4 linked regions of the Arabidopsis thaliana genome follow. The protein of the gene in region 1 binds, or shares a complex with, the protein of each later gene. Each region holds a gene or a part of one and is shown in the gene's direction. Other genes may lie near its edges.

Region 1 (8,125 bases):
TTATATACCTTTGAAGACGATAATTTGCACATATTTATAAGATTTTTCTGGAATCTCAATGATTACATATCACTTTCTACTGTTTCCTGTCACAGTGAAGGTCTTTGATCCCCATACCATTACATGGTCAATGTTAAAGACATATGGAAAACCACCGGTATATCTTCACTTCTCTCATGTTGTCTCATTTGCTTTCCTGTCACCTTTGTATGAAAATATTACAGTTTTATACAAAAAAAAATTTGGCCGTCAAAAGACAAAAAAATAAAAGTTGTTTTCTTTCCTTACCCTCCCATAATATCTTCAGGGTTAAGGTGCATCTAAATCCAGAATTTCTCCTTGCTAATTTGGAAGTCAAATATGCATTTTGGTTACTTAAATTTAGACTTTCTTATAATTATCTCTTGCTTTTAGGTTTCACGTGGAGGCCAGTCAGTTACAATGGTGGGTAAAACCTTGGTGATATTTGGCGGGCAAGATGCAAAGAGATCACTTCTGAACGATTTGCATATACTTGACCTAGACACGATGACCTGGGATGAGATAGATGCCGTGTAAGATTTTATGATGTTTCTGCATTTTGTTCTCTTTCGAAGAAGTCAAACCCATTTAAGATTAGATATATAACCAGAATATGAATATGTTAGAAATCGACCTCCTATCTCCTTTAGTATCTTAGTCGTTATTGAAAGATTAGCAATTCAGGATTTAAATTGGTGTCAAATTGCAGGGGTGTATCTCCATCTCCGAGGTCTGATCATGCTGCTGCAGTGCATGCAGAACGGTTCCTTCTTATCTTTGGTGGCGGCTCACATGCAACCTGTTTCGATGACCTGCATGTCCTTGATTTGCAAACTGTAAGTTAAGCTAAGAGTCTATTCTTTCAGCTGCTCTCAAACATGCTTTGTCAGCCTCTGATATAATTGTCACATATAGATGGAGTGGTCAAGACCAGCACAGCAAGGTGATGCACCAACTCCAAGAGCTGGACATGCTGGCGTGACAATTGGGGAGAACTGGTTTATTGTTGGTGGCGGTGATAACAAGAGTGGTATGTTAATGCACTTTTCCCTTGGAAATTTTCTCTTCCCAACCGTTCTGTTTATCACCCCCTAGAACAAAAGATATTTGCTTGGGTTTTTTTTTTTGTGTGTGTGGGGTGACTAATTTTGTGACAAATTACTGCAGGGGCATCGGAGAGTGTTGTACTAAACATGTCAACTCTTGCATGGTCGGTCGTTGCTTCAGTTCAAGGACGTGTACCTCTTGCTAGCGAGGTACTTAAATAAACAGACTTTATCCATATTAATTCCCAGATAGCTATACAAATAAACACGGTAGAAGCCTTTTCAAGACTTCGAAAAAAGTCAAGTCATGCTTATTTCATTTCCATCGTCCTTTCCTTTGCTACTGACAGGGATTAAGTTTAGTGGTGAGTTCATACAATGGTGAAGATGTACTAGTCGCTTTTGGTGGATACAATGGACGTTACAATAACGAAGTAGGGACTGTGATCTGAACCCATAAGTTCATTTCTCTTAATTTTTCATTTAGTTCTGCTTCTAATTCTTATCTGGCATTAGATTAATCTTCTTAAACCAAGCCACAAATCAACATTGCAAACAAAGACTCTGGAAGCGCCTTTGCCAGGTAGTCTTTCTGCTGTTAATAATGCCACAACCAGAGACATTGAGTCTGAGGTTGAGGTGAGCCAAGAAGGCAGGGTACGGGAAATTGTCATGGACAATGTTAACCCTGGATCAAAGGTATCTTCTTGTCAAATTTCCCTCCTTAATATATTTTGCATAGCACCACCTTTTGATTTGTTTGAGAGAATTGAAGCATCTTATGCATATATGCTGTGGTAGTGATTGTGTCGACACAGAATATAGTTACTCCAGTCCGGATCATCACCTTCTCGCACTCTTATTATGTTTTGGGTGATTAATCCCCAGGTTGAAGGAAACAGCGAACGCATTATTGCGACTATTAAATCTGAGAAGGAAGAGCTGGAGGCATCACTGAACAAAGAGAGGATGCAGACTCTCCAACTAAGGCAAGAGTTAGGAGAAGCAGAATTACGAAACACAGATTTGTACAAGGTACTAATATTATCACCTTCTTAAAACAGAAGCCGACATGAATAAATTGGTGAACCAATCGTTCATAAAGACTGGTTGCAGCAGTCTTCCAATTGCATTCACATTTAACATCTGAAATCTCGGAATTTTTCCTCGAATATGATATACCTAACTTTGTACTGACATTTTGTAGGAACTTCAATCTGTTCGTGGCCAACTTGCAGCCGAACAATCAAGGTGTTTCAAACTGGAGGTACTAAACCGTAGCCACATCTCTTTTGTACCATAACCTACAGAATTTGGAATCTCGTGAAACCCGTGATTTAATGACTACATATACTCATATTCCAGGATGAATAGGAATCTTGATTAGAACATTCATCCATTGTAACCACTGGATCTATCACATATCTTCTCTGTCATTTATTGATAAGCTTCATCACGTCATAAGAACAAAAACAAAGCAAATCTAATTGGGTCACTTTCTCCGAATCTGCAGGTTGATGTTGCAGAGCTAAGACAAAAGCTTCAAACATTGGAAACACTACAGAAGGAACTCGAACTCCTGCAACGTCAAAAGGCTGCCTCAGAACAAGCTGCAATGAACGCTAAACGACAGGGCTCGGGTGGCGTATGGGGCTGGCTCGCTGGAAGCCCTCAGGAAAAAGATGATGATTCGCCTTGATCATTTTTGGTCCGGTAATGCCATTTTCCTCCGGACGATATTTGCTTTCAGTAAAGAAATATATATAGTTTTTTTTGTCTGAGTCTCTCGCATTGTTTCTTCTTCCAATAAGATATTTTTTTAGCGAGCTTTGATTACTACCGATGTTTAGCTTTGTTCTCTGTTATACAAGTGATTCACCAGAATATTCGTTAACTTTTTTGAAATATTTGTTTTGGGAGTGTCTGACAAAATTATGAAAACTAAATCAGTTTACGATCAGCAATCATAATTTTCTTATATTTACGAGTCTCTTACTCTCTTCACTCTTTAGTCTTCGTTTGCATTAAAAATTAAATTAAATTTACCTCACTTCGTAAGTGGACAAAAAATCACGTTTTAGGCAGCAAAATAAAATAAAATAAAAAGATCACGTTTTTTTGTCCCATGACGTGGCAACCTATTACTGGATGGGAAGTTCGACCGTTCACCATCACCATTTATGACGCTGAGAAGTTACCAAAATGTCCTTCTCACCAAGTGATGCTTTTGTCATCTTCTCCAGCTTTACTCTCATGAAATTTCTTAAATTTTCTCTTCCAGCAAACAATCTCAGGATTTAAACAAAGTTACGCATCTTCTGGCTTCGAGTTGTTTCTAGGGTTTCATTGTTATGAAAGCTCTTTAACACCGAGGGTTCAAGTGTGGTTAGAGAGAAATGAATTCGGCTGAGGTGAATGTGAATCCTAGGGTTTTTGGTGATAGTTTCGTTACTTTTTCTGGCAATGGCTCCGGGAAATTTGAAATGATTGATCAGGCCGAAGCTTTCCTTATGGAGCTTGATTCGGTTGCTGCAGACACTGGAAGTGATGGAAATGGAAATGTCGATTTAGGTTCTCGAGTGTCTAACAGTGAAACGGAACCTAGATTTTGTGAAATGAAAAGAGAGATTAGAGACTCTGATCACCGATTTTATGAGCTCTGCAACGAATCTGGTGAGAAGAAAATGGAGAAAAGGCGAGTTCCGGACTACAAATCTTTCTTATCCGAATTTGACGATTATGTTGCGAGGGAGAAAATGGGTTCTAGAAATTCGAAGGCATTGAGCTATGGTTTTGAAGTGGGAGATATGGTTTGGGGAAAGGTAAAGTCACATCCATGGTGGCCAGGTCAAATATTCAATGAAGCTTTTGCGTCTCCCTCTGTTCGTCGTGTGAAGAAGATGGGTTACGTTCTGGTTGCTTTCTTTGGGGATAATAGTTATGGATGGTTCGATCCTGCTGAGCTTATCCCTTTTGAACCTCATGTGAAGGAGAAATCACAGCAAACTAGTTCGGATCACTTTGCAAAAGCTGTGGAAGAAGCTATGAATGAAGTAGGTAGAAGGTCAGCTCTTGGCTTGACTTGTAAATGTCGGAATCAGTATAACTTTAGGCCTATTAATGCTCAAGGTTACTTTGCTGTAGACGTGCCTGATTACGAGGTCCAAGCTATTTACTCTTCTAAGCAGATTCAGAAAGCTAGGGATAGTTTTTCATCTGTGCAAACTCTAGCTTTTGTGAAGCGGTGTGCATTAGCACCTCAAGAGTGTGATACAGACAGCTTAAAGTCTTTCCAGAAGAAAGTAGCGGTTTGTGCATTCCGTAGAGCAGTGTTTGAGGAGTTTGATGAAACATATGAACAAGCTTTCAGGGCAAGATCTGTATACTGTTTAATGAAGACACATGAACCACTTAATAGAGCACCCCTTCGAGGTAGATTCACCTTTCAGCGATCCTGGCATTGTTTTGAATACATTTGTAATATTTCTGCTTCCAAAATCGAATTTTATGGAGTTTTATTAGATCTTTCTCCTATGTATCACAGAGATACGGTACTCTATAAATTGGTGATCTCGTTGAGTTTGTTTTTCTGTTTCTCGAGCCATATAGGCTACATTCGAGAGTTTTGTGGTTTGGGTATCCTTCGACATCAAAAATGCTTTTCTTAAGGTTGTTATTGTAGGATTTATAGCTATGAAGTTGTATTCTTAGAATGCCTCAAAAGGATATGGCATATCTTTGATCTTAAATTCTGGATTGTGAAATCTCATTGTGTTGGGTGGTTGGAATAGATTTCATATTTCCTCATGCATTGCTTGTGTTTACAGTCCCCTTGAGTGGCTCATTGGTCAGTGCAGAAACTCTGGGCAACCCAAAGAGCTACACAAAAGCTATGAATGTAAAGGATTCTACTAAACAAGACAAATATCTTCCAAAAAGAAGAGAAGAAGCTGGTGATATGACAGTTCAATTTGGCCAGGTCCAAGAATCTTCTCAGTTTCAGGGCATCAACGGATCTTCAGCTTGGGATCGTCTACTCCAGAGAAGGACTCCATGTCTCCAAACTCCCAGGAAACATGAGCAGACTGGGCTTGTCAGCATGAACTTCACCTCTTCAAGTGGTAATATTCCTGGAAAGAAATCCTCTGTTTCAAAGCTCTCTCGTGATGATGACAAGGGTTTAGCTCAAGAGTCAGATGTGAGAATGGGAGAAAAAGCAACTCTATTTCCAGATCAGGAGAAATTTGAACCAATGAAAAGCCTTAAACAAGATGAGACTGGAACAAATTCTAGATCTAACAAAAGCTCTCTCAAGCTTTTTAGTGGTGGGAAATTTTCTGCAGGAGTTGGGATCAAGAAAGGCAATGTCGTGAAACGGTCTTCTGGCGAAATGAAATCTGAGAATTGTCCTCCAGAACCAAAGAAAAAGAAGAAAGAGTATGTGTCAGAGCTGAACCGTGACACTCCAGATAAGAGGAAAGCGTTATCTTCTGGAGAAGCTTGGGCCAAGAAATCGTCACAAGTAGATTCAGCAAAGAGACGCTCCAATATGTTGATAGTGAAACTTGATGGTCTGCAGCTGTTGAGTAATTTGCTAGCTCTCTCGCTTGACCCTCTCTTTGGATCCTCAGATAGAAGTTCTTTTAGAGTTATAAGGCAGTTCTTTTTTCATTTCCGATCACATGTTTACCAGAAAAGCTTGGCCACATCTCCTTCCGCAACAAAACTGTCAAAATCTGCAAAGACTTTGTGCAGAGCTAATGAACAATCAAAGGCTGGGAGAAACCGCATATCGTCTGACAGTCAACAAGATGTCCCATCAACTAAGAAGCTAAAGAAAACCATTCAGTTCAAACCACTGGCTTCTGACAAGAAAACAAACCAAGATGCAACAAAGAGATCAAGTCTTGCACCTTTAAATCCAGTAAGAGACCAATGTCGAGTTCCCATCAATGCCAAACCAGCTATAGTTCAACAAGAAAAGAAGACGGGTCCATCTGCAATGGTAGTTGAGCCAACAATGCTGGTCATGATGTTTCCTCCTGGTGAATCTCTCCCTTCCATTGATCTGCTTAAGGCGAGGTTTGGACGCTTTGGACAGTTGGATCAATCAGCCATCAGAGTTTCCTGGAAATCCTCGATCTGCCGTGTTGGCTTCCTGTATAAACTCGATGCGCAGACTGCCTTAAGATATGTATCAGGAAGCAAATCTCTCTTTGGCAATGTGAATGTGACATACTTTCTCCGTGACATGAAAGCTTCTTCTGCATCCGGAGATCATGAACTGAAGAAAGCCAAGAGGCCCAAGACAGACAAACCCATCACTAAACCATTGAACCAGCTACTAGAGCAAGCACCGCCGGTTCACCAACCAAACATCCAGCTCAAGTCTTGTTTGAAAAAACCAGGCAATAACCGTAATGGTAACCACAGAACAGTACGAGTGAAATTCATGTTGGGTGAGAAAGAAACAGAGTCACCATTTTCGGTTTCGATTCTTCCTCTCTCTTCACAAGACTCAGAACCAAAGCCTGTAAATAACCAAGTGGACCACGTCGAGCCACCACTAGACCCGTCACAGCTTAAGGTGGACATCTCCCTGCAGATGATGGAGCTGTTAACAAGGTGTAACGATGCTGTGGCCAACGTCACGGGTTTGTTGGGTTACGTCCCTTATCATTCCTTATGAAAGATTACATTAAAGAAAAACAAAAGTCTGTCCTTAGGTATTATTAACTAGTATTATCTGGAGAAGGGTATCAAAATTCAAAGTGAATAGAACATCTCTCTTTCTCTAAATATCCACATTTGACATATAAACCGATTTTAAACCAGAATGTTTTTCTAACTTTACTGGTTTCCAGTTTGCCAAAAAAAAAAAAACTTTATTGGTTTCCTATTTTAAAGCCAATATCAAACTGCAAAAAAAAAAAAAAAAAAACAATTAACCAAATTTGCATGAAAACTGAAACCAAATGCGTTTTAATTCTGCGCGTTTGATATTAGATCTAACATTTTAGAGCATAACAATATCCTACTATATTATTTGGAAAGTACATAACCTTACTTTTTGTAATTAATTACATGCCATTAGAAAAATTTAATCAAAAACAAAATCTTTTAATGACATCATTAAGATTATCAAAATTATTTAACGACAATATTCATCTCTTAATTATAGGGCTTATTGGATTTAAAGACGGGTCATCAAAAATTTCCTAAACTAAAGCAAAATATACTGAATATTCAAATATCTATCTGTTACCAAATTATAAACAAATAAGTTCGTAAAACGATTTAATATTTTATATACGAAATCAATTAAATCTTAATCACATAAAAATTAGCACAAAAAAAAATATGGTACATTTGGGTCTATAGTATTTTTGCAAGACTTTTTTGGTGGATTTTGGTAAAAGTGCATTCGGCCCCTATTAAATAAATATGGTACACTCCTAAGTTATTAGCTAAAATGTTTAGATTATAATTCAAAGTCATATCATAAATAAAATTAATATTAATAAAATAAATGACTTTTTGGCAAGACGAATTTTTGAATCAACATTAATAAAAAGTAAAATATAATTAATCCACTGTTTCAATACGGGTTAAATCTTTAATTTATTATTTTTAATAACAATTAATATATATAAATACTTAATAACAATCATAAATTGTAAAATATAAATATTTTATAAAAATAAAATTTGCAAGTTTTAATATATATTACTTTTAAAAAATAAATCATCCCGCGGTATACCGCGGGTTAAAATCTAGTTTAGTTTATTTGAAATCAGATATTATCGGATCTAGCAAATATATTTTCTCTTGTCCAATTGATATTTTTCCAACAAGATAGACAATTTTCGATGTTGTAGAGGATTTTTTAGTCATGATCATACTAATAATCGTAAAAGTTTTTTAAGGAAAATCTTTTTTTAATACAAATTTCTTATAGTTTCGATTCATCGTGATTGTACTATATATCAGTTCTTTTTCGGTTTTGTTTTAGTTTAGTTTTTATCAATATTATTTCAGTTACGGGCGGTGTTTGAAAC
Region 2 (7,499 bases), 1.4 Mb from region 1:
ATAGCAAAGTAAGAAAATTACTTGTAGTGGCCACCAACAGGATTTGCTGCTGCTATAACAGAAGTTCGAGCTGATAGACTAGCTACAAGCCCAGCCTTTGCAACAGAGACACATTGTTGTTCCATTGCTTCTAGCAACGCCTGTTGCAAAGTGATGTAAGTAATGAGAAAAATGTCAACATCAGAAGTAATGACATTGCCGATAAGAAAAAACCTGATGCTCGGTGGTCATTTTATCGAACTCATCAATACAGCACAACCCGCCATCTGCGAGTACCATGGCACCTGCTCACAGAGTAGCACTAGGTTAAGAAAGATGGAAGGTTTCTCGTCCTACACACAAATCAGTTGAACTATTTAAAAGTAGGGGTTCCTCTGCATATACAACTTTTTACTATTGTGCCGTTCTTCAGTAAAACCCTATCCTAATACTGATAAAACACTTTTGAAGATGCGAATTTTTGAATGAACTATCTATATCTTGTAGAAAGATTTTAGACTGCTGCTAATTGATCCCCCACTCTAAAGTCTAAACTATAAGACAGTAATATAACATCCACATAAAATGACATCACTTGAAACCGACAAGGCATACACAACCTCAAGCATCAAGACAAGAAATGAATTTTAGACTAAGTAAGTATTAAGTAAAACTATCCATCAACAGCATGACTCAAACCCATATCGGAAACAGTAGAATAATATGCTATATACTGAGATTTGTGCGGGCTAAATAAAGGAGAGGGTATGAGCTACCAGCCTCAAACGCATAGTCATTTGTCATGGAATCTTTCACTACAGCAACGGTGAGCCCTGCTCTAGTCGTCGCATTACCACATACATAAATGCCACGAGGGGAAATGGCAGCTGCTGCTTGCAAGAGCTGACTTTTGCCCAATCCTGGGTCACCTATTAGTGCATCGAAAATCATCAATCACAATTTCGTGCTACAAACTAGTTACAAATACCCTTTCCTCAGCTCAAGCTAAACATGGTTCAAAAGCTTACCAACAATAATGACATGAATGTCTCCTCTGACTGGAACTTTGTTCCGATCCATCGAGTGCTTCCTTACACCTCCAAAAAGAGATAGTGTTATCCCAGCTGTTGAAATGATAAGAAGAAAACAAACAACAGACGTATCATGATATGCAATGCTTCTAATTGTAATCATCAAATCTTGTTATGGACAGAAGTATAACCTTTGACAATTTCATGGCCATAAATAGACGGGCAGACTGAATGAAGTATGCGACGGAATGTATCAGAACCATATTCTTCTTTGAACTTCACAATAAATTCCAAGTCTCTCTGAGAGAATGAATATAAGTCACCAACATCTGCAGTCTGGGCACTGCTACTAGAGTCTTCTGAGTTCTCAAATGCAGACTGCCGCTTGGTGTTTTTCACTGAAACTGCCTCTATAAACAAATAGTAAAATCCTTGATTCTTGGTCTTCGATTTCCCTGAAACAGGAGCATTTTAAATGTTTGTTAAGCTTGAGTATGGCTTAATACCAGTAATGAGGCTTCTAGCTCCTTGATCTTTGGTAAAATGTCAATATGAGTAAAACAAACAACTTAGCAGTGCTCTATTTTACTTTCCTGCAATGAGATTCCCAAAAACCATGGAAGAGAACTTTAAGAGACAAATTTCCAGCTATTCTACGGGTAAGGATAGCAGGCGTTTGGGCATGTTAATGTTTGCAAATTATGGACACAACAAGGATGGAGAGAACTCCATGAAAAGTTATAAAATCAATACCTCCCCCAATGTCCATGTAATTATTAATTACTCCTATAATCCCTGTAACTGTCACCACATCACCAGGGATACATATGTCCACAAGGTCTTCCATCAGCTCACATTCTACAGTTCTGGGTACCCGTCCTTCTTCGTGGTCTTCAGGCTTTTGCAATTCCTGTACCCTAAAATGCATTTGGACAGCTGGTTAACAATGGTCAGATACATAACTAACAAGGATGAAGTACACAAAATGATGAGACGCAAATAGGAGAACACCTGATTTTCTGAAAATCAATTGTCTGAGCAGAGGACCGGATTGGAGTAAACGTTTTGGACTTGCATCCATGGGAATCACATTTTAGTGGAGGAGAAAACTTTCCATCAGTAAATTCCCGGGTTATGCCAGTTTTGCACTTTCCACAGTCAAAAGCCATCTGTGTGACAAGGGGTTTCACAGTACTAACTTTAACAACAGTCCCATGAACGGTTACAAGCTTTCCTGCAATTTCAAAAGCACACACTCATGCTATGTCTCACTTAAGGTTTTACATCTTATTATTTATTTCGCTAGATGAGACAGTCTACCAATATAAGCTGCTCTCAGGTTTTTCAGGGAGATAGAAGATTCAGGATAATTATGCAGACGAACATTGATCTTCATAACATTCTCAAACTCATTAGTCTCCCATTGATCAAAAAGAACCTGTGAGAGATGACATAAGTCTTCATCTTATGCCAACCAAGAAAACAAACCCCAATGAAAAGTAATAGCATACCTTGTGAACAGCAGCATTCATACATGGGATAACTCCTTTAGGATTATCCTCTAGATTTATGAAAAAGTTCTCGATATCAGATATTTTCTTGAATTGTTGGAGATCAAGAGACAAAGAGAAGGAACCACCACCGTCTTCATTCACCTGGCTCAAGCCATGGAATAAACTTATAAACTGTTTCTCCTATTTTTAGATACTAAGAAGAACTAATTGACGCATAGAGAAGTTGATTAATCGTTTTCTATCTACCCTAATTCTTCATAGAAGTAGAGTGGAAACGAAATCTAGCTAAATAGATTACAATTTCATAACCGGAATTTAATTTCGAAATCAAGCTATACCAAGCTTTATAAAATTCAGATTTATAAACTTTTTACCAGAAATTTGATGATGGCCAAGTGAGGATGTACCTGAGAAACTATGTCTCTACCAGGTGATGCGGAGAATACGCGGATGAGCTCCGCCGTGAGCTGCAACTTATCCTCGTCGATGGCCAAATTCTCGTTGTCCTTGATGTATACAGCTAATATTTTCCCGATGCCGAGAGAATCAATTCCTGTTGATTCAGGGCGACCCGATGCCATGCTTCCACCACCGTAAAATCCCATCACCGCTTAACCCACTGTAACTCGCTCGTCGTCAGTCGCAGAGAAAAATCTCGCTTAGGCCAATGGGTTTTGGCGGGAAAAAGGTAAAGGGCTTTTTGTGATGGGTTTTTGGTAAGTGGGCCAAATGATTGAACCCTAAAACCCAAAGATAACCAAAAGAAAGGATAAAATCAATTAATAAAGCTTTAGTTGTCCGCCACGTGGACTGAACCGCACAAAAATTCACAACAACAAAAAAAAAACGAGAAACCCGTTTCTGGTTCGATTTGACGTCTTCGTTTACTTCATTTCTATAAACGAGCTCCCGCCGCCGGAAAATTCGCTGTTCATCACCACCGTGACCAGAGGTTTGTTGTGAGCACCTTCTCTATCTTTCTTTCTTCACCTGTAGGTTCTGTTATATGTTTTGTTGGGAAATGAACTGAAGAAAATTTCTGATGATTTTCTAGGGTTTTGTTTTGGTACTGCTTATGTCGACGGAATCAGAACGTATTGAATCAGTCTCAGAGGCTAATGCGTCGAGTTTAGAGGTCGGAAATGATCAAATGTCTGAAGCCCTAGCTGGTCAAGCTCAGGAGCTGAAAACAATTGGAGATGATAAAGAAGGATGCGGCAACTTTGCTTCAGCTGGTGATAATGGGATGGAGAAAGTAAATGGATTTACTAATCTTGTTAAGGAAACGGAATCTGTAAATGGAGAGTTAGATCTAGGCACTAGAACCGAAAATGTAGGTGGAGAGAGTAACCAAAGTGACAAGAAGGTTCTAGTAGATAGCGAAGAGGTCATGATGGTAGAGAAAAGGGGGCTTCTTGTTGAGAAGGAAGTGGAACCTGACATGGTCTGTTCTCATGGCGCTGATCTCAGTGATGTGAAGGTTTCTGATGGCAGACTGGATAGTGAAGACCTTGTTCAGGATAGAAAACCCGATGGCTTAGAAAAGCAAGGAACAAAAGTTGAGGACTTGGATGTTGTATGTTTTATGGGTTTAGAACCGCATGAGAGCAAGGATGAGAGTATTTTGGATGATGAAATTGCCCATGTAGCTGCGAAGGTGAAGATCTCTGACTCAGATTTGGTTTGGGCTAAAGTAAGGAGCCATCCGTGGTGGCCTGGACAGGTGTTTGATGCCTCGGCTGCAACAGACAAGGCGAAGAAGCATTTCAAGAAAGGAAGTTTCTTAGTAACTTATTTTGGAGATTGCACCTTTGCTTGGAATGAGGCGTCACGGATTAAGCCTTTTCGACAGCATTTCTCCCAAATGGCAAAGCAGAGTAGTCTACCTGATTTTATTGATGCTATTGATTTTGCGTTAGAAGAGGTATCAAGAAGGATAGAGTTTGGTTTAGCTTGTTCTTGTATCTCAGAGGAAGTCTATCAGAAGATCAAGACTCAGAATGTAATCAATCCTGGAATCCGAGAAGATTCAAGCTCAATACACGGTGGAGACAAGGTCTCAAGTGCAGTCTTCTTTGAACCTGCAAACCTTGTGGGATATGTGAAGCGTTTAGCATGCTCTCCTAGCTATGATGCTACTGATGCGCTGCAGCTTGTAAGTCAGAGAGCACAGTTATTAGCTTTTAATCGCTGGAAAGGCTATACTGACCTCCCCGAGTTTATGACACTCCAGGGGTCAGTAGAGTCTGCACCCAAGATTTCTCCTGCAGAAGAGCAAAGTAGCTTAGTGGAAGTTTCTGATCCTGAACCAACAAAGAGTAAACAAGTTTATACTAAAAGAAGAAAGACAAACCTGCAAACAGAGCAAAGTAGCTTAGTTGAAGTTTCTGATCCTGATAAAGGTGACTGTAAACACGATGGAGTGTTTGAATATGAAGAAACTATTGTTCCAAAGAAAAAGGAGAAAACTTTGGCAGAGTTCATTGCTGAGAAACGCGTAAGCAGACATAATGGGAACACATCACATGAAAAGTCTGGTAATGTTCCGCATTGCGAAAAGAAACGCAAGGTTGTGCAGTCAAAAGTTCCCAAGTCCACGAAAAAGATTAAGGCAAACCTGCAAACAGAGGATCCAGGATCTCCAGTTTCTCCCAAAAATGATCGAAAAAATAATTTGTCTGCTGGTGATAAGATTACACCACAGAAAGCTAGAAAAAGTTTCGGAATTGGGGCAAGCATATTGAAAGTGGCAAACCAGATGCATTGTTCAACACCAACCAGACTCTTACCTTGCAGTGATTCGACCTCCAAAAAGGCAGCCAAGAGCAATGGCAGTGGAAAGAGTCTTCAGGAGAAACCTAAAGCCGAAGCATTATCAGCAAGAGAAATTTCTCCTTCAACTACACTTTCAAGCCCTCACGCTGCTTCTGTTACCAAAACCACAAGTGGGAAATCCAATTCTGTCAGCCTAGACCACAACCTATCCGGAGAACTTGATCAGGTCAGAAAGGAAGCTCCTAGTACTAACCTTGTGGAGGACCCGATGTTGGAGTCTAGAGACTTGAAAGACTCTTCTAAGGAGCAGGTCGTACATGAGGATAAGAAAGAAGCTGCAAATGTAGCGGATGAGAAATCTATTATGGACAGCAATCTAACCGGGGAGAAAATCAGTGGCTTGGACTTGAGAGAGCAGCCGAGTAACAAGAACTGCTCTGGTGGATCTGATAGTTGCAAGGAAGATGTTTCTGCAGAGTAGGAAGGCTCAGCATCAGCGTCTAACCCACTAATACAGATCTTTCTAAAATCGAGTCCGGTTCTTGTTAGTACCCAAGAGTGGAATATACCTTTTAGATGGATTCTCTTCTCTTTCAAAGTTTAGAATTGTATGATTTAATCAGAGTTGAACAAACACTAGTGAGAGAATGTAACAAAGTTATTTTTGTTTTTCCAGATTTGTGCAATTTAATGGTCAATAATTCATTTGAATCCAAAACTAATTATGAATTTGAATAAATAAATTAGAATCCAAACAAAATTAACCTCAACTCGGAGGAAAATAGAATAAGAGATGTCACTGAATAAGTACATAGACATGCCTTCAAATATCAAAAAAAATTCATAAAATGTAGTAGAGCTCAAGACCTAGGCTTCTCCTTCTTTTCCTTGAAAAGGGCCAAGAGTGAGACACCAGAGACCTTCACCACTTTGAACCTAACTCCGGGAATATCTCCGACGGCATGACCTTTACGCCCAAATCCAGCAATCAACACCTCGTCCTACACACAGTATCAATGAATGAGTAATTGGTAAGAATATAATTTGATTACTCATTCAAAAGTAGATGTCAATCTAACTTACATTTTCTTCAATGTAGTTCAAACAACCATCATTGGGGACAAAGGCAGCAATCTTTTTACCATTCTTGATCAACTGAACTCTAGCACACTTACGGATAGCAGAGTTAGGCTGCTTAGCCTCAATACCACTGCATAATCAAACACAGAGTCTCATCAAAGTCAAGATCTATACTACTAACAAAATCAAGAAATGGTAAATATATATGTTTATACAAACTTACATTTTCTCAAGAACGATTCCTTTAGCGTGAGAAGAACAAGCAAAAGGCTTCTTCCACTCGTTGCCTCGATTAGACTTCTTGTAATGCTTGTCCGCCCACCTCTGAGTAATCCGAAGCTGCTTAAGCTTGCGACCAGCTCCCATACCACGTGTCTTACTGAAGATATTCAAATAGAAGATAAAAGAAATTGAGAACCAAAGGACATTTCATCAGATGAAATCAACTCACTCAGAACATATAAAACAAATTCGGAGTTGATAAAGAACATAAAGTTATAATCTAAATCACAAATACTTAACACAAGAGGAGAGTGTAGTAAGGAAAAAAATCAAAAATCATAATCATAATTTCCACATTTCAGACCAAATAACTCCAACGTTTATAAGAAAAAACTACGAATTATAGCAACTTCGTAGCTTCAACAGGGTGATTAACAAAGTATTACTACACGACGTATGAATGTCATTCAAATCCCTTAATTCAACCATCCCGACCCGAGATAACGAAAACGGCAAGGCACCAAAGAGAAACCGGAATAAACAAAAAAAACATAAAACAAATCCTAAACCCGACATAACAAAAACACGATCACTTATAAGCGGAGAGATGAGACTGAAACATAAAGAGTCTAAGAGAGGATACCGTACCCCATGTTGACGACGGCGCGAGTGAAAAAGTCGAGAGATGAGCTGAAACTGCTAAAGGCGCGACGTTTTAAGTTCGTGAGAGATTGAAAAACCCTAGTGATAAGAAAATAGGTATATATAGGCTTGGGTCAAGACTCGTGAGAGCCCTGGTTTAGGCATTAACCGGTCTGCAATGAAATTGATTAAACGGCAAATGATTATTTTTATATTTGGGCTTAACAAGAAGGCCCATCACATGTCAACCCAAATA
Region 3 (8,287 bases), on another chromosome or scaffold:
TTATTGTATGTAGATCACAACGTAAATTTGAAATTTGTGGAACCGACCAAACTCCGACTCTGTGGGCCGGTTCATAAATAACACTTTTCTACACCCAAGTAGTGTTTTTGCAGTTAATATTCTTTAAAAGTTCGTCCAATTGCAAACGTTACTTGAAACTCTCTCACAAAACTATAGTCTATTACAATATAACTCTTTCTTTTTTTTTTCATTGAAGGAATGTTATTGAAATTTATAGTACAAAAGTCGATCATACCTATAATAGTAAAATTATATACATTCGTTTTTAATACTATACTAACAGTTACTTTCTCCTATTAAATTACATGTTCTATAATCAACAGGACCGGCGCAGAATCGAAACACATACGCAAGTTTTAGTGTGGCGTGAGAAAGCAAAAGGCTTATTCCACCTCGAACTTCACTTTTTTGTAGTTTCTTCATTTCGTATCACATGCAAAGTGAGACAAACATTTAATTAATATATATATATATATATATATATGTTATAGATGATTTAATCACAAACTCTATCCATTATTGAATTGTCGACGGTTAACTATTTGTTTTTTTTTTTTTTGTCAATTTACTTCGCTATATGTTTAGAGAGTGAAGCACACGAATGATATCACCGACTCACCGTCCCGTGATTACATCACGCCCTACAAAGAAAACAGTCGGAAGATTCATTTATTAATTAATCAATAGTGTTAAATATAAGTACATTTTTTTTTTTATAATAGTTTTGTTATAATCGAACAAAAATACTAGGCCGTTGATTTAATTTTTAAAGTAAATGTGATGGACTAGTACTTTTTTTCTGCATAAAATCTATCCACACACAACAGGCAGAATTGTTTTCTTGGATCCATGTGCCAAAATTCGTAAATATCTGCAAATAGCAAACGAGTGAGTAAACCGTCTCCTCTATCTGCTATAGCCCTTTAAGTCTAGAGACGATTAAAATGCTACCTCCAATATATGTGGTCGCAAATTGATGTAAGTTCTATGTCCTACCTATAGAAATATTCGGCAGCCGGTTTTCGTCATTTAGTATGGCAACACTTCTTTGGGACCATATTTTCGTATTGGTCAACAAATTAAACCCTAACCAATTTCTAAGTCCTTTCCATGAAAAAAACGAAATCTATAAGTCATTGTTGACCAATACAAAAATCTGTTACTATTACATCCGGTCCCATATTTTCAGGTGGGAACTAAATCTAGAGAGAGTACCCAATCTTCAATCCGGAAATTGATTGACAAGGAGTTGGAGATGTCTACATTGAAGTGGATTTCAATTTTCGAAAATGGTAAAGGATCACATTGCACTTTGAATAAAGTTATACAACGTTAAAAGAAGATAAAGATATGAACACATTTTATATCAAAGGCCTTAATAAGTATATTTGGGCCTATTAAATCGAACCTTTAAACAGAAAAACTGGCCCATAAAATAACCGTGGTTGTGTTATAACAAGCCGGTTAAGTACAAACCGGAAGCGACTCGTGTTTGTTTAGTGAAGCGATCAAGCGAGCGAGATCAGTCAAATAGCTTTTTCATTGTTCCTCAGATCGAAGAAGAAGAAGAAGAGCTTAGCAACAATGGTAAATCTAGATCCGTCCAAGTGCTTTCAGTCACAGCTAATTTGATCTCTCTATTTGTTGCTTTTACGATTTCTGATTTTGTTTGGTGTGTTTGTGCTCGTTCCCGGTGAGAAGGCGGCGAAACCGATTGCGAGTCCGATTCCGGTGGCGCTGTATCCGACTTTATCGGTGTTCACTCTTGCGATTGGTCTCGTCATTACCGCTATCTTCTTCATGTAAGCTAATAATTGATCTGATCTCTAGATCTTCGAAATTGCCCCTTCTTGTTCTCAATTTATATTACTTGATGTCAGATTAGTGAAACAGTTCCTGATAGATTCGATCTACCTATGATTTATCTTGATTTTCATAAAGCTTGATTAGTGTGTGATAGTCATGACTAGGTTCTGAACTATGAATCGTGTGAGGCTCTCCTCTTGTTTGTTCACTGTGTATGAAGCTTGACCAACATTGTTACTGCTTATATATATGGTTTGGTCACAATGCTTTCTCAATTGCTATTCTCTAGAGATAGGTCTTCTAAAGCTCCTGAAGCTACATGTTCATCACTTTCATGATCTCTTTGCTAGATTAATCTGTTGAAATATGTGCCTTTCTTATTACTAAAGTTTCTGGGTAAAAAGTAAGAAAGTCATGGGACTCATCTAGTAACCTTTTGGAAATGTGTGAGCTCTATATACTATCATGATATAAAGACTCAAAATTTATCAATGATAAGGTGATAGTCTATGGAAATGGAATCAGTACTCTAATAGTTTCACTGAATATGACAAAATGACTGATTATCGATTTAGTTAAGATACAAGAAAGTTAGATTTGTATGATTTTCATTTAAGCGTGGAGCATTTACCTTTCAAAGGGTGGCAAGTTTTAGGAGATATGATTCGGTTTGTTAAAGTAATGTGCGTCTGGGCTACGAGAGCATGTGGGTTAGCCTCGAGTCAAAACTTTAAGATAGACTTGAACCATTCATTTTAGCTTCTTTGTAATAAGGTCATATTGGACTCTTTTGGTATTCATTGTGCTGGTTTAGATTCATTCAGCCCAACAAGGAGTGATCAAAACTTACCCTGTCATAACATTTGTGTTGCAGCTATGAAGCTACATCATCCAGGAAAAACCGAAGCGTCGGAAAGGAGCTCGCTACTTCAGCAGTTGCATCTGTCTTCTTGGTATGGATTTTCTTCTTCACCCTCTTGACTTAAGTTTAAGAGTTTTCTTTAAATCTAATGTTTGGTTAAAATCTGTTTCTGTGTTATTTGCAGGGTTTTGGATCGTTGTTTTTGCTACTTGCTAGTGGTGTTTATGTCTGATCCTTCTTCCTCAATACTATTCCCAACTAGTTCAAAGACAAAAAAAACAGATTTATCTTTGTTCAAGTAAAATCAGAGTTATGAATGTTAAGACTTGAGAAGTAGCCTTTAAACACCAAGTTACAATTAAATTATCTTCTTCTTTTGAACGCTAAACCGAGTTTTGGTTTCAATTTTCACCGCCTTTAGAACAGCGTTTGCGTTGTTAAGTTGATCAGTTAGTAACTTTCTACCAAGATTTAGAAGAAAGCTTTACTCAAATTTTGTAATGGGAAGATACTGATTATACTCTTTAGTGTGAAGAAATCATTTTAATTCGCTAATTTAAGTATTTGCCTATTGGGTATTTGCCGGGACGAAGTTTACTCCACGTGGCATAAATAATAATATTATAAAAAAAACAAAGGAGAGTAGAGAGAAAACGAGAGAAAAGAAGGAAATGGAAAGCGAAGCAGCAGCGACTGTTCAAGCCACCAGGCCGAGAAGAGCACCTAGGACTCCGGTGACAGCCATTTTGACGGATAAGAGAAGACGGAAACCTAAGAGCAACAACGAGTCTCAGTTACCATTTTTGCTACAGCAGAGTCAAAAGGCCACCGTTGACGACACTTACTCTCAGTGGAAGACTCTTCTTCCCATTCTCTATGATTCGTTTGTTAATCATACCCTCGTCTGGCCCTCTCTCTCTTGCAGGTCTGTGTTTTTTTTTATAGGTTTTCTGTTTCTAGGGTTTTCGATCTTTGGTTTTGGAGAAAGTTGGTTCTTTTTTGGGAAATAAAAATTCTAGCTTTGTGCTTTTGGTCAGGCGATTGAGTTACATTTCCGTTTCAGCTAGTGAAATACTCATAGATTGAGAGTTTTTCTTAGCTGGTTTCTGGAATTTGTGAGATTAGGACATGTTCTAGTTCGGGTTTTTAATTTAGCTCAGTCTCCATGCTTTTCTGTGTTTCTTTCTCTTTTAGGCTTTTAGCTCATTAGCTATCTGATGTTTCCATTTTTGAACCTCTGGAACTTGTTTTGGTAGGAAAATGATGTCGTTGATAACACTTGACCAACTCGGTTTAGGTGTTCTGTTTTGTTACTTTTTGGTTTCAGATGTTTAGCTGTGCTACGATTTAGTGAAGTGTTTAGCTTTTGTGTAAAGAGGTACGATTTCGTTGTAATCCTGTTGTTTGATTTGAGCAGATGGGGGCCACAGCTTGAGCAAGCAGGTTCTAAGACTCAACGTCTCTATCTCTCGGAACAAGTGAGTTTGCTCTTGTTCTTGTGGTTTGTACATTTTTTCTTGATGAAAAATATCCAAAGTTTGTTTACTGCTCCTTATGTTTACCGTTTTTTCTTGGTTCTGTCATTAGACGAATGGCAGTGTGCCTAATACTTTGGTCATAGCCAATTGCGAAACTGTTAATAGGCAGGTAATTAGTTTTTCTCTACCAAAGCTTGTGCTTTTGTCCTTGTGTTACTCTCTGCTGAGATGAAATTATTGAAATACCGTTTCTTTATATGCTTTCAGCTTAATGAAAAGGCACACTCTCCATTTGTGAAGAAGTACAAGACCATCATCCACCCTGGAGAGGTGTGATATTCCTGTATTCTCATTGTTTTTTCTTAGATGGATTTACTGAATCTGCATTTCGTTTAGGACTTGAGTGCTGAAAAAGATTTTGTTTTGTGTACCCTTCATTCATCGCAGGTCAACAGAATTAGGGAACTCCCTCAAAATAGCAAGATTGTAGCTACTCACACCGACAGTCCTGATGTAAGTTCTGCTTTCTCGGGTCATCAGCGTGACAAAAAAAAGGCTTTCGTTATTCAGTATCCTTGTTTTTGAATAGTTCCAGTTTCAGTCATGCAAGTATGATATATTGGTTTTCAGATTCTCATTTGGAACACTGAGACTCAACCAGACCGGTATGCTGTGCTTGGAGCTCCAGATTCTCGTCCAGATTTGGTATGCTCTTGTGAGAATTTTCGTTATGTTGTCTCACTGAGTTAAACAACCTGCTTGTGCATCATATTAACAATCGAAAGAGCTACTCTTTTTGCATCATTTGAACAACTTTTATTTTCAGTTACTAATTGGGCACCAGGATGATGCTGAATTTGCTCTTGCAATGTGCCCAACCGAACCTTTTGTTCTCTCTGGAGGTTTGTATCAGTTCTATTTTTGTGTCATATCTTGTGGTTTGCAAGTTTCTCATCAAAGATTCTTCCGTGCAGGCAAGGACAAGTCCGTTATTTTGTGGAATATCCAAGACCATATCACAATGGCTGGTTCGGATTCCAAATCCCCTGGATCCAGCTTCAAGCAGACTGGTGAAGGTAGTGATAAAACTGGTGGTCCTTCTGTTGGCCCTCGAGGCATATATAATGGCCACAAAGATACTGTTGAAGACGTGGCATTCTGTCCATCTAGGTAACTTCTTGGGACAGTCTCCTTTTTTAATAAGCTCTTAAGTTTACACCCAAATGCAGACCTACTCAGAATTTTCTGATGCTTTTGGTATAAAAAAATTGGTAATTTTTTGTTTTGTCCTACAGTGCACAAGAATTCTGCAGTGTTGGTGACGATTCTTGCCTTATGCTATGGGACGCAAGAACTGGCACTAGTCCTGCCATGAAGGTACCTCTTTTTTTTAGCCAGATCGACATTTGAGGTTTAACTTTTTGGTCTTGTTTCAGATTCCGTCTGTTTCTTCTTGTGCGCTGGCAGGTTGAGAAGGCACATGATGCTGATCTTCACTGTGTCGATTGGAATCCTCATGACAATAATCTGATCCTGACTGGGTACTGATTTCACAAACTTAAATACTTGTCCAAAAGTACAGAGATGCTACTCGTCCTCTCACTCTACGCTTCTACATCACTTTTCCAGGTCAGCAGATAACACTGTCCGTGTGTTTGACCGCCGAAACCTTACCTCAAATGGAGTTGGTTCACCTGTTTACAAATTTGAAGGCCACAGAGCTGCTGTTCTTTGTGTTCAGGTTTCAACAACATGCCACCACCTCTGTTTTTTTTTTTTGTTTTTTTCTTTTCATATTATTTGTCCTGTAAACCTATCCCCAATGACATTGCTTCGTTATCAATTCAGTGGTCTCCTGATAAATCATCTGTTTTTGGGAGTTCTGCAGAAGATGGTCTCTTGAACATATGGGATTGTGATAGGGTTAGTACAATTTCTCACATTCACATTTAAAACTATTCTCTTACTTTCAAGCTCACCATATTAACATATATGTGTGCACCAGGTTGGCAAGAAGTCTGAGCGTGCAACCAAAACTCCTGATGGGCTTTTCTTCCAGCATGCTGGTCACAGGTTCTCAAGACTTAATTCTAATTCACTTGCTTGCCTTTCCCTTTTACTCTCTTCAGTGGAATCTATAATTTCCTCGTGTATATCTTCTTAGGGACAAAGTGGTCGACTTCCACTGGAGCCTATTGAACCCTTGGACTATTGTCAGTGTTTCTGATAATTGTGAGAGTATCGGTGGAGGTGGTACATTGCAGGTACTTTTAAATGTCTTGCTACATTTACTCTGGAACCTACCTATGATTAACTTTCTCGGTAAAAATGAAAACTTTTGATTTGTAAATTAATGCAGATATGGCGGATGAGTGACTTGATTTACAGACCGGAAGATGAAGTCCTGACAGAGCTAGAGAAATTCAAGTCACATGTTTTCACATGTACCTCCAAGTCTTGAGGAAGCAATCCCATCATGTCTATTAGTATTAGTAAGTTGCTGGGGTTTAGTGTCAGTTTTTGCGAGGAAAATCAGTTTACTTATGCGATTTAGGTGTTATTTTTGCGGAATATTACTTGGTTTATGTAGGCCAGTAATTCAACATATTGGTAGATTTAGGACTTCCGGAATCTTGTATGGTACTTGATCCTGTTTCTTCAGGTTAATCCTAGGCACCTAACTTGCTTGTATTTTCAACTTTTTTTTTTGTGAATCCAAACTTGGTTAAGCAAGACCAAACTAAAACAACAGATTGAATCAGTGAAATCCAAATCTCAAGTGCTTGACATTTGACTCATGTGTCCCTGAACCGTTCAGTTCTACTTCCAACAACAAAAGCAGATAGAAAATCGTCGCTCTTCACCTCTATTCGGTTTCATTTCAAGCAAGATTGGTTCTGCGTAAACCGGGTTGAACCGGATCAACTCATTAGATCTACAAAGGATTTGTGCAATCTTAAGACCTGACATCTATACAAACTTGCAGACAATTGAACTTAATACTCTTGGGATTGTGGGGTGAGGGAGTTAGGTAGCAACATTTGAGGAAATTTATTGCATAATATCTTCTAGTAGATTCTCTCTCTCTCTCTCTCTCTCTCTCTCTCTCTCTCTCTCTCTCTCTCTCTCTCTCTAGTTAAAAACATCTAGGTACTAAGCCTTTCATGGGGTTTTGATTTATCTGACATTAAGTACACTACTCATTTATAGATATAAGACCATCTCATAGGGGCTTCTCTAGGTTTTGTTGGATTCTCATCATTGATTCATTGCAGCTATAACCAAACAAAACCTTCTTTGTCGACGCATACAAACACACACATATATACATAAACACACGTTTTGAGTTTTGTATCATTGTATGTGTATGTGAATATGCCAAACTATTTGTTTGGAAGTGGGGAGACAAATTTGTGGCTCAAGGAGTACTATATCTTCATTGTTCAAGATTTAGTCCTTTTAAAAATCCTAGCCATTAAACCCCTTTTCTGGTCTGCCTCTCTATTGCCCCCTATCGAAATTGTTGTAGTGATGCTACACCATTCAAGCCGATCATTGGTGTTCCTTACAAAGTAATCCAGATGGATCATTTACCTCATTTCATTATAGCATTTTGGCTCACCAAATTAGTACTATTGTTACTTGAGAACGATGTGTGTGTGGTGAACCAATTTTAAGCCTAAAGTTTGTCTAGAGTGCAAAGCTTTTAAGCAGTACTACTCTTGTTATGATCTATAAATGGATACAACGCATCTATAGTTTGCATATTAACTATATGAGTATGAAACACGTAATAACCTGCGAGTGTGTCATTTTCAAGCTTCGAAGATCAAGGAAAAGTCCTTAGGGTCACGGGAAATACCATAGTAGCTAGATTTTTGGAGCTCGAGATTTTGACTTTCCTTCTACCTATCTACACAGACTATGTATATGCATATATATAGTTGCAACGTCAAACCTCTCCGTTTCGTATTTATATCTCTATAATCTTTTGGCATGTAGATTCTCTATCTTACAAAAAAAATAAGATTGATCAACTGTGGTATATTACACATACTGTGAAAATCGTTTTTCTTCTATTTGAACTTGATATAGTTATGTCCAAAAATAATGGTGGAGG
Region 4 (7,020 bases), on another chromosome or scaffold:
TCTCTTTCCTTGGAGTATCAGACATGAGCAGAAGTGTCTGCTTCCTGAAAGCATATAACAAGGAAAAGTGATTACCCAAGTCAACAAAAATGGGTAAATTAAATTCATGGTGTGACCAAATTTAAATTACCTAGCTGTGGTGGTACCTAAGCGGACAGCATGCTGTTGATAACTGTTGAGTTGCTTTAGTATGAAAGGCAGATGACTGTTTATTCCACAAATGATGATATGGTCAGATTCTAGGACTTGCATATGTGCCCCTTCCCTCACTTTTTTCATATGATACTGCCCAAGACAACATCGATCAGGATAACTTTTACCAATTAACCAATAATGTTTATCTCAAGAACTTACCCGAAATTGCTCTGTCATTGTGCTTAAAAGCCGAGAGTAAAACACTATTCCCCAAATGGCTAGGACAAATCCAATGAGTCTTTCGAAGCGTGTCTTTTGCTGCAGTTTGCAGTAAACATATACATAGGCATTTATTTAGTAAGCAAGAACTCCATAGAAATATCGTGAGACTAATATAAGTTGTTCTGTGAAGAAGCAAATCATGACCTCCAGATGAGTATCAGCGTTAACGAGGCATGCCCAGGCCTCCCAGAGGCAGTCTTCTAAGGATGTGTCTTTCCTTCACAACAAGAAGGAGGGGAATAAAAGTAAGAAACCATGCAATGGATATCACAAGAAGTTCTTAAACATAGCTAAGTTACCTGAATTTGAAAAAGAAGAGTCCTCCAATGATAACAAACGAAAAGCATGTTATCAGGAGCACCACAAATACCCTACAATAGCCATGACAAGTGATCAGAACGGATGTCATATATAGTCACATGCCTGCAAACAGCTATACTCGTTAAAACTCTGAGACTACATTGGGGTTTAAGGACGTACGTGCCAAGGTTCTTCTCAAGCTGAGTATTGAAGAGGTAAGAAGACCTTGCAAGACCCCATTTGATATCATGGGAAGAAGGAATGGCCTTGAGTAAAGGATGTTTGTCTATAGCGTTTGATGCACATGCAAAAGGCAAGCCAGCCTTCACTGAATTCTGAATGAGATTTGGAAGCTCTTGAAATATCTTTTGCGCTATTCTCAACACCGCATACAGTGGGATGCATCCTATCACAAGTTTATATGGAAGACTCTGCATATTTAATTAAACAAGATTATATTATTATAAGCATATGGAGTGATAACACATTCAGTGATGAAACTCATTCTATAGATTCACCTTATAGAATTTGGAATTTAAATCTTTGAAGTTTTTATTAGGCGGCTCTGTATCTCCTGTCCTTTGAGATTTGACTTTGAAGGTCCCTGTCATATAGAGAGAAAAAAAATACAATTAGCTAATCAAGAATGAGTCTAATTGTGGAAGAACAGCAACAATGAGACCGTAAAGAATTGCATCAAAGTTGGAAAAATATACAGAACCTGACCTCTGAAACTAGAAGACTTAATCCCACCTAAAGGCAGAGAGTGTAAACTCAAGCTCCTGCAAAAAAAGAATCAGAGATACACAACTTGTAAACATCACAACCCAATGAGCTTTGATTGAATGACAATTTCCAGATTTTGAATCAATTTACGATATACCTTTATCTTACAAACCCAAATTCCATTTGAAACTAAACTCTAAACCCAAATTCAGAGCTCCTAACTAAAACCGTCACATTTTCTAATCGAAACCATTGAACTTGGCTACATTTACTGTAAGCAAAACATGAAGTAAAATTCACCGGAAGAAGAAACAACAAAAATAAACTGTGATATATGCCCAAGCAAGTTTTGAAGATAAGGACGAAGAAGACGCTGACGGAACTAGAGGGTTCGGATTATAAAGAAAAGAAGAGAAGACACAGAAATAAACAGAGGCATTGGCATTTCTTTTAGAATATAGAATTTGTTGAGAGGAGTTACTTAGTATTGATCGCTTAAATGATAAATACCGTGTTCTTTAAGTATCTGTATCAGTTGTTTGGAAATAAAGAGCTTGTTTCTAACAAAAACACTCAAAATCTTCTGAGGATCACAAACTTCACAATCATCATCTTATCACTTATGGATAAAGTCACCACCATGCAATTGTTTTCAGAAATATCAAGTATAAGAAAGAAATTACAAAAACAAAACCTGTGAAAAGAAGCTAATCGATCTCTTGTCAAAGCTTGAGAAGGTAGAATCAATGGCTTCCAGGTAAACAACTGAACAGCCACCATCTTTCTTAATCTTCTCCTTGATTTATCTTACGCTCTTTTTGTTTCTCTCCTTATATATGTGGGTGGAGTATGGACACAAGGCTGGTTTTTTAGATTTTTGCGTGATTATTTTGTTGTTGTTATATTGTTTTGGACCATATTAGTTAGCCCGTGGGGTGTTATGAACATAAAAACAAATCGACTAATTTTTTTTTTGGCTTAGAACTTCATTTGAATAGGTAAACAACGCAGAGGAATCGCGTCCATAGAATAGAATATAATAAAAACAAAATGGTACTCTTATCGCTTTGAATTTTAACTACTTTCTCTTATTCCACTCACTATTCACGTTTTTATATACATACATACATATAAGAGTACATGTGCTAATAGCTGTCCAAACAAAAAAAAGAGTACATGTGCTAATAAACGACTATTTTTTAGTACTTTTGTTTCAATCGTTAAAATCTCATCCACAATTTTGAATCTCGAACGTTACTGGCTCCCAAAATATCCTCTCAATGTTGAGACGCCACATGACATAACAATAAAAATGACAAAGACATAACAAGAAAATGGATTTTGCATTTTTTGACCATTGAGAGAGCTAAGCACTTTACACAATAAACGGTGTTATTGTGTTTATATATGAATTGATATATTATTTTGTTAGTCTATGAGGAGTATTTAAAAATATCCCCAAAAGAGGTTTTTCAAAATATCACTTTTTAGTAAAACATACTATTAAACAAGTTTAGAAAACTTATAAAAAAGTGTCTTAATGTTGTAGGAAAACATTTGGTTCTCATTAAACATAAAATTAACAAATTTAATTCTTTAGAAATAAACTAGTTGTAGTAAAATTCTAATCTACTTGTAGTAAAATTCTATTCTATTTAATATCAGTAAAAACAAGTCAAATTCAAGTTCAAATAAAGAGGGAAAAGCAAAAGTTTGAAAATTTTGAACCTCACTCAATGTAATAATGTATGGTTGTGATGAGTCGAGACAAAATCAAGTACTGCCACGTGGAATAATTCGTGACGTACACGTAGCTCTCTCATAAACCCCCTCAAAACGAAAGAAACTCTGTTATTTCTTCATTACCCAAAATCTAAGCTTTCGTCGCCGGCGAAACCGTAACCGCCACCGGAGGTTCTGTCCACCTTTTTTGCTCTCCGATTATTTTCTTCGTCTCTCGTATGATGTACTGTTTTTGCTTTAATGGAAGCATATACTGAAGCAATTTCTGCTTTTTTTTGTTTCTTCGTTGTCTAGGGATTTTTGTTGGTGCTCGTTATGTCTACGGAACCAGAAGGAGTCGAATCTGACTCCAACGCTGATTTTGCCATAAATGCGTCGAGTTTTGACTACGGTATGGCTCACACATCTGAAACCCTAGCTGATCCCATGAGCTTTCAAGCTCAGGACTTGGTAGTGAACCTCACTGGAGTTGAGCGAAAAGTATTTGTCTCTGCTCGTGATGATAAGGATAGTCTCTGTAACGGGGTTGATTTTGATGCTGATTCAGATCTGCTTAAGAACAAGGATAAGAAAGGATTTTCTAAAGAGAATCTGAAGCTTTTTGACTCAGATTTGGTTTGGGCTAAACTAAGAAGTTATCCATGGTGGCCTGGACTGGTCTTTGATAAATCTGTTGCCTCTAAAGCTGCGATGAGGCACTTCAAGAAAGGAAATGTCTTGGTTGCGTATTTTGGGGATTGTACATTTGCTTGGAATAATGCATCTCAGATAAAGCCTTTTCATCAGAATTTCTCTCAAATGCAGGAGCAGAGTAACTCCGCTGAGTTTCGTGATGCTATTGATTGTGCTTTGGATGAGGTTTCAAGGAGAGTAGAGTTTGGTTTATCTTGCTCTTGTGTTTCAGAGGAAGCCTATAACAAACTCAAGACTCAGAACATAATCAATGCTGGAATTCGTGAGGACTCAAGTGTTAGATACGGTGGAGACAAGTTATCGGATGGAATCTCTTTTGAACCTGCTAAACTTGTGGATTATATGAAGCATTTAGCTTGCTTTCCTTGCTATGATGCGACTGAGAAGCTGCAATTTGTGATTAACCGAGCTCAGGTATTGGCTTTTCAACAATGGAAAGACTATTCTCACTTCATTGACTATGAAACATTTGTAAGGTCGGTGGAATCTGCTGCGACCCTGGCTTCTCTCCCAGAAGTAAATATGGATGAAGGAATATCTGCCAAAAAGAGAAAGACAGATTATAAAGATAATGCTGAACAGACAAAGGAGAAGACTTTGTCAGATTTGACTGTAAAGAAACGCTGTGGGAGCAGATCAACTGAGAAATTGGATGGTAAGTCGCATTCTGAAAAGAAGCGTAAGGTTGAGTCTTCGGAATCTGGTAAGTCTGAGAAAAGGATCAAGAAAAGTCAGCAAAAGGAGGATTCAGTGTCTAAACACTCTAATGAGGAAAGTCTTTTGTCAGTGGGTGATACTAATAAACTGCAGAAGACGGCTGAACCGTGTCATGGAACTGGAGTGGAAAATGAGATGAATTCTTTAACTCCTACACTTAAGCCTTGCCGTGCTTCTAAATCTACGGAAGTTGAGAATGAGAAGACTAAGAAGCCGAGACATCAAGAGCTTGCTGAAAGAAAGATTTCTTCTCCTGATGAGATGCTCTCAAGCCTTCACGCTGCCAATACCTCAACGGGAATACCTGATTCAATCAACATAGACCCCTCGAATTATGAAGATTTTGAAAAGTTCATTAATGAACTGTTTTGCAGTAAACTCAATGGTGACTCAAAGAAGGCAAGTATCACTGAGACATCAGAACCTTGTGATAAGAAAGACTCTGCAGAAGAAGAGATATTACCTGCAAATAAAGAAATCACTGGCTCAGGCTCGAAAGAGCAAATTGGTCTCAAGGACTGTTCTGCAGATTCATTACCACCCTATGCTTTAGTCCTCAACTTTGCGGATTCAGGTTCGGTTCCATCTGAAGAAAAGCTGAACGAGATATTTAAACGTTACGGTCCTCTCCATGAGTCTAAGACTAAGGTCACGATGAAGGGTAAGAGAGCCAAAGTTGTGTTCAAAAGAGGGGAAGACGCAAAGACTGCCTTTAGCAGCGCAGGGAAATACAGCATCTTTGGACCTTCTCTTCTAAGTTACAGACTCGAGTATGTTTGCCCCAAACGGAAAAAAACAACATGACTGATTGAGTCACGGCATCTCTTAACTTTCAGAGATTAGGGTCTGATCAGATATCATCAGCTAGGTCTTATGATGAGAGTAGATTTTCGATAAATAAACGTAACCTAGGATTTATGATGAGAGTAGGTTTTCGATAAATAAAAGTAACATTCGTGTGATGAGACTAATTCTTAACTTTATGACATACAAAACCAAAACTGGAAATACCAATGATAACAGTAAAGTTAGTCGCAACTGAAGATGAGGCTTATAAGTTAAAAGAGTAAATTGATTAAACACCAATAACATTAAACGATCATGTCTTAATTCAAAAACTCATAAAATGTAACACAAAATCAAGTTCTTGAAACATAAAGTAGAACAGAACAAGACTTAAACTGAACTATCAAAAACCATATCAAAAGCTTGAAGCTTTTTGTACGGGTTGCTTAAGATCTTGGCTTCTCCTTCTTTTCCTTGAAGAGGGCCAAGAGTGAAACACCAGAAACCTTCACGACCTTGAACCTAACTCCGGGAATATCTCCCACAGCGTGACCCTTACGACCAAATCCAGCAATCAAGACCTCATCCTGCAACACCATAAACAAGAAATGTATCAGCATATGAATGAAACTAATCCATAGTGTGATGATTGAATAGTCATTTCATGTGACTTACGTTTTCCTCGATGTAGTTCAAACAACCATCATTGGGGACAAAGGCAGCAATCTTCTTTCCATTCTTGATAAGCTGAACTCTAGCACACTTACGGATAGCAGAGTTAGGCTGCTTAGCCTCAATACCACTGCATCATCAAACACAAGAGTCTCATCAACGACCAATGTCTCTACTCAACAAATCAATTATAAGAAAAAGTAAACTTGAATGTTATATCAGACTTACATTTTCTCAAGAACAATTCCTTTAGCGTGAGAAGAACCAGCAAAAGGCTTCTTCCACTCATTTCCCAAGTGAGACTTCTTGTACTGCTTGTCAGCCCACCTCTGGTTAATTCGGAGTCTCTTCAGCTTACGCCCAGCTCCCATACCACGTGTCTTACTGTTAACAAATCATCACAAAATAACATTTGAGAACAACTTCACTCGATAAACCATAGTTAAAACTCAGAAAATCAATAAGAAATTCATCTAAATAATAACAAGACGATAGAAGATTTATCTCTAATACATCAGCAAAAGTGAGCTTCAAAACCCAAGAGACCATAGATACTCATACAGCGAATTTTAAATCTCCAGTTATCAACCATACTAGAACTCCAGAGTAGCTCAAAATTTACACAATCTATTGTGGATCTATACATAAAAAACATTTAGCAAACATATCCAGAAATGAAGACGCATTTGCTATAGAATCAGTTCCAATCAAAAACCACAATCAAAAGTCGAAAACATGTAACAATTTCAAACAAAAAAAAAACACAGCAGACTCTATAGAATCCTTCATAATTCATGGAAACAGCAAGTGAATCAGATAAATAAAACGCTAAACAGAGAAATGAGATAGGAACACGAAGGATAGATCTAATAGAGGAGAAACGTACCCCATGTTTGTTGATGGAGGAGAAAGATCAACAGCAAAGAGCTATTTGCAGGAAGCACAAAGATGATAAGCTCTTAAGCG

The links.
Region 2: AT3G05430 (region 1) and AT3G09670 share a complex: the UniProt entries of both Arabidopsis thaliana proteins name them as parts of the PRC2 (polycomb repressive complex 2) complex.
Region 3: AT3G05430 (region 1) and NFC5 share a complex: the UniProt entries of both Arabidopsis thaliana proteins name them as parts of the PRC2 (polycomb repressive complex 2) complex.
Region 4: AT3G05430 (region 1) and AT5G02950 share a complex: the UniProt entries of both Arabidopsis thaliana proteins name them as parts of the PRC2 (polycomb repressive complex 2) complex.

What each region holds. Positions count from the first base shown.
Region 1 is NC_003074.8:1,564,282-1,572,406, forward strand, and holds AT3G05430 (Tudor/PWWP/MBT superfamily protein), read left to right. Parts: upstream 1-3,342; 5' UTR 3,343-3,463; coding exon 3,464-4,499; intron 4,500-4,894; coding exon 4,895-6,756; 3' UTR 6,757-6,937; downstream 6,938-8,125. Other genes in the region: ACBP4 (acyl-CoA binding protein 4), read left to right, coding at 96-157, 415-554, 731-857, 937-1,051, 1,189-1,277, 1,418-1,501, 1,584-1,766, 1,956-2,102 and 2 more; AT3G05425 (uncharacterized protein), read left to right, coding at 3,193-3,324. UniProt on the Arabidopsis thaliana protein: May influence gene expression by regulating the function of the PRC2 complex and modulating H3K27me3 level.
Region 2 is NC_003074.8:2,963,038-2,970,536, forward strand, and holds AT3G09670 (Tudor/PWWP/MBT superfamily protein), read left to right. Parts: upstream 1-3,163; 5' UTR 3,164-3,476; exon of another isoform or gene 3,477-3,483; intron 3,484-3,578; 5' UTR 3,579-3,599; coding exon 3,600-5,780; 3' UTR 5,781-6,021; downstream 6,022-7,499. Other genes in the region: MCM8 (minichromosome maintenance 8), read right to left, coding at 22-140, 214-284, 756-908, 1,008-1,103, 1,202-1,465, 1,764-1,927, 2,022-2,244, 2,331-2,448 and 2 more; AT3G09680 (Ribosomal protein S12/S23 family protein), read right to left, coding at 6,160-6,300, 6,383-6,509, 6,603-6,758, 7,250-7,254. UniProt on the Arabidopsis thaliana protein: Together with PDP1, PDP3 and PDP6, interacts with MSI4/FVE and MSI5 to suppress FLC, MAF4 and MAF5 expression by regulating the function of the PRC2 complex and modulating H3K27me3 level, thereby promoting flowering.
Region 3 is NC_003075.7:14,557,596-14,565,882, reverse strand, and holds NFC5 (nucleosome/chromatin assembly factor group C5), read left to right. Parts: upstream 1-3,281; 5' UTR 3,282-3,360; coding exon 3,361-3,614; intron 3,615-4,106; coding exon 4,107-4,167; intron 4,168-4,276; coding exon 4,277-4,336; intron 4,337-4,434; coding exon 4,435-4,497; intron 4,498-4,614; coding exon 4,615-4,680; intron 4,681-4,797; coding exon 4,798-4,872; intron 4,873-4,993; coding exon 4,994-5,069; intron 5,070-5,141; coding exon 5,142-5,337; intron 5,338-5,462; coding exon 5,463-5,544; intron 5,545-5,634; coding exon 5,635-5,708; intron 5,709-5,796; coding exon 5,797-5,908; intron 5,909-6,015; coding exon 6,016-6,090; intron 6,091-6,172; coding exon 6,173-6,240; coding exon of another isoform or gene 6,241-6,331; coding exon 6,332-6,431; intron 6,432-6,526; coding exon 6,527-6,628; 3' UTR 6,629-6,956; downstream 6,957-8,287. Other genes in the region: AT4G29735 (uncharacterized protein), read left to right, coding at 1,606-1,608, 1,723-1,823, 2,445-2,510, 2,702-2,780, 2,874-2,921. UniProt on the Arabidopsis thaliana protein: Core histone-binding subunit that may target chromatin assembly factors, chromatin remodeling factors and histone deacetylases to their histone substrates in a manner that is regulated by nucleosomal DNA.
Region 4 is NC_003076.8:687,452-694,471, forward strand, and holds AT5G02950 (Tudor/PWWP/MBT superfamily protein), read left to right. Parts: upstream 1-3,233; 5' UTR 3,234-3,357; exon of another isoform or gene 3,358-3,480; 5' UTR 3,481-3,501; coding exon 3,502-5,400; 3' UTR 5,401-5,648; downstream 5,649-7,020. Other genes in the region: AT5G02940 (ion channel POLLUX-like protein, putative (DUF1012)), read right to left, coding at 1-44, 131-285, 355-453, 562-634, 717-788, 898-1,148, 1,236-1,321, 1,444-1,499 and 1 more; AT5G02960 (Ribosomal protein S12/S23 family protein), read right to left, coding at 5,829-5,969, 6,058-6,184, 6,283-6,438, 6,941-6,945. UniProt on the Arabidopsis thaliana protein: May influence gene expression by regulating the function of the PRC2 complex and modulating H3K27me3 level.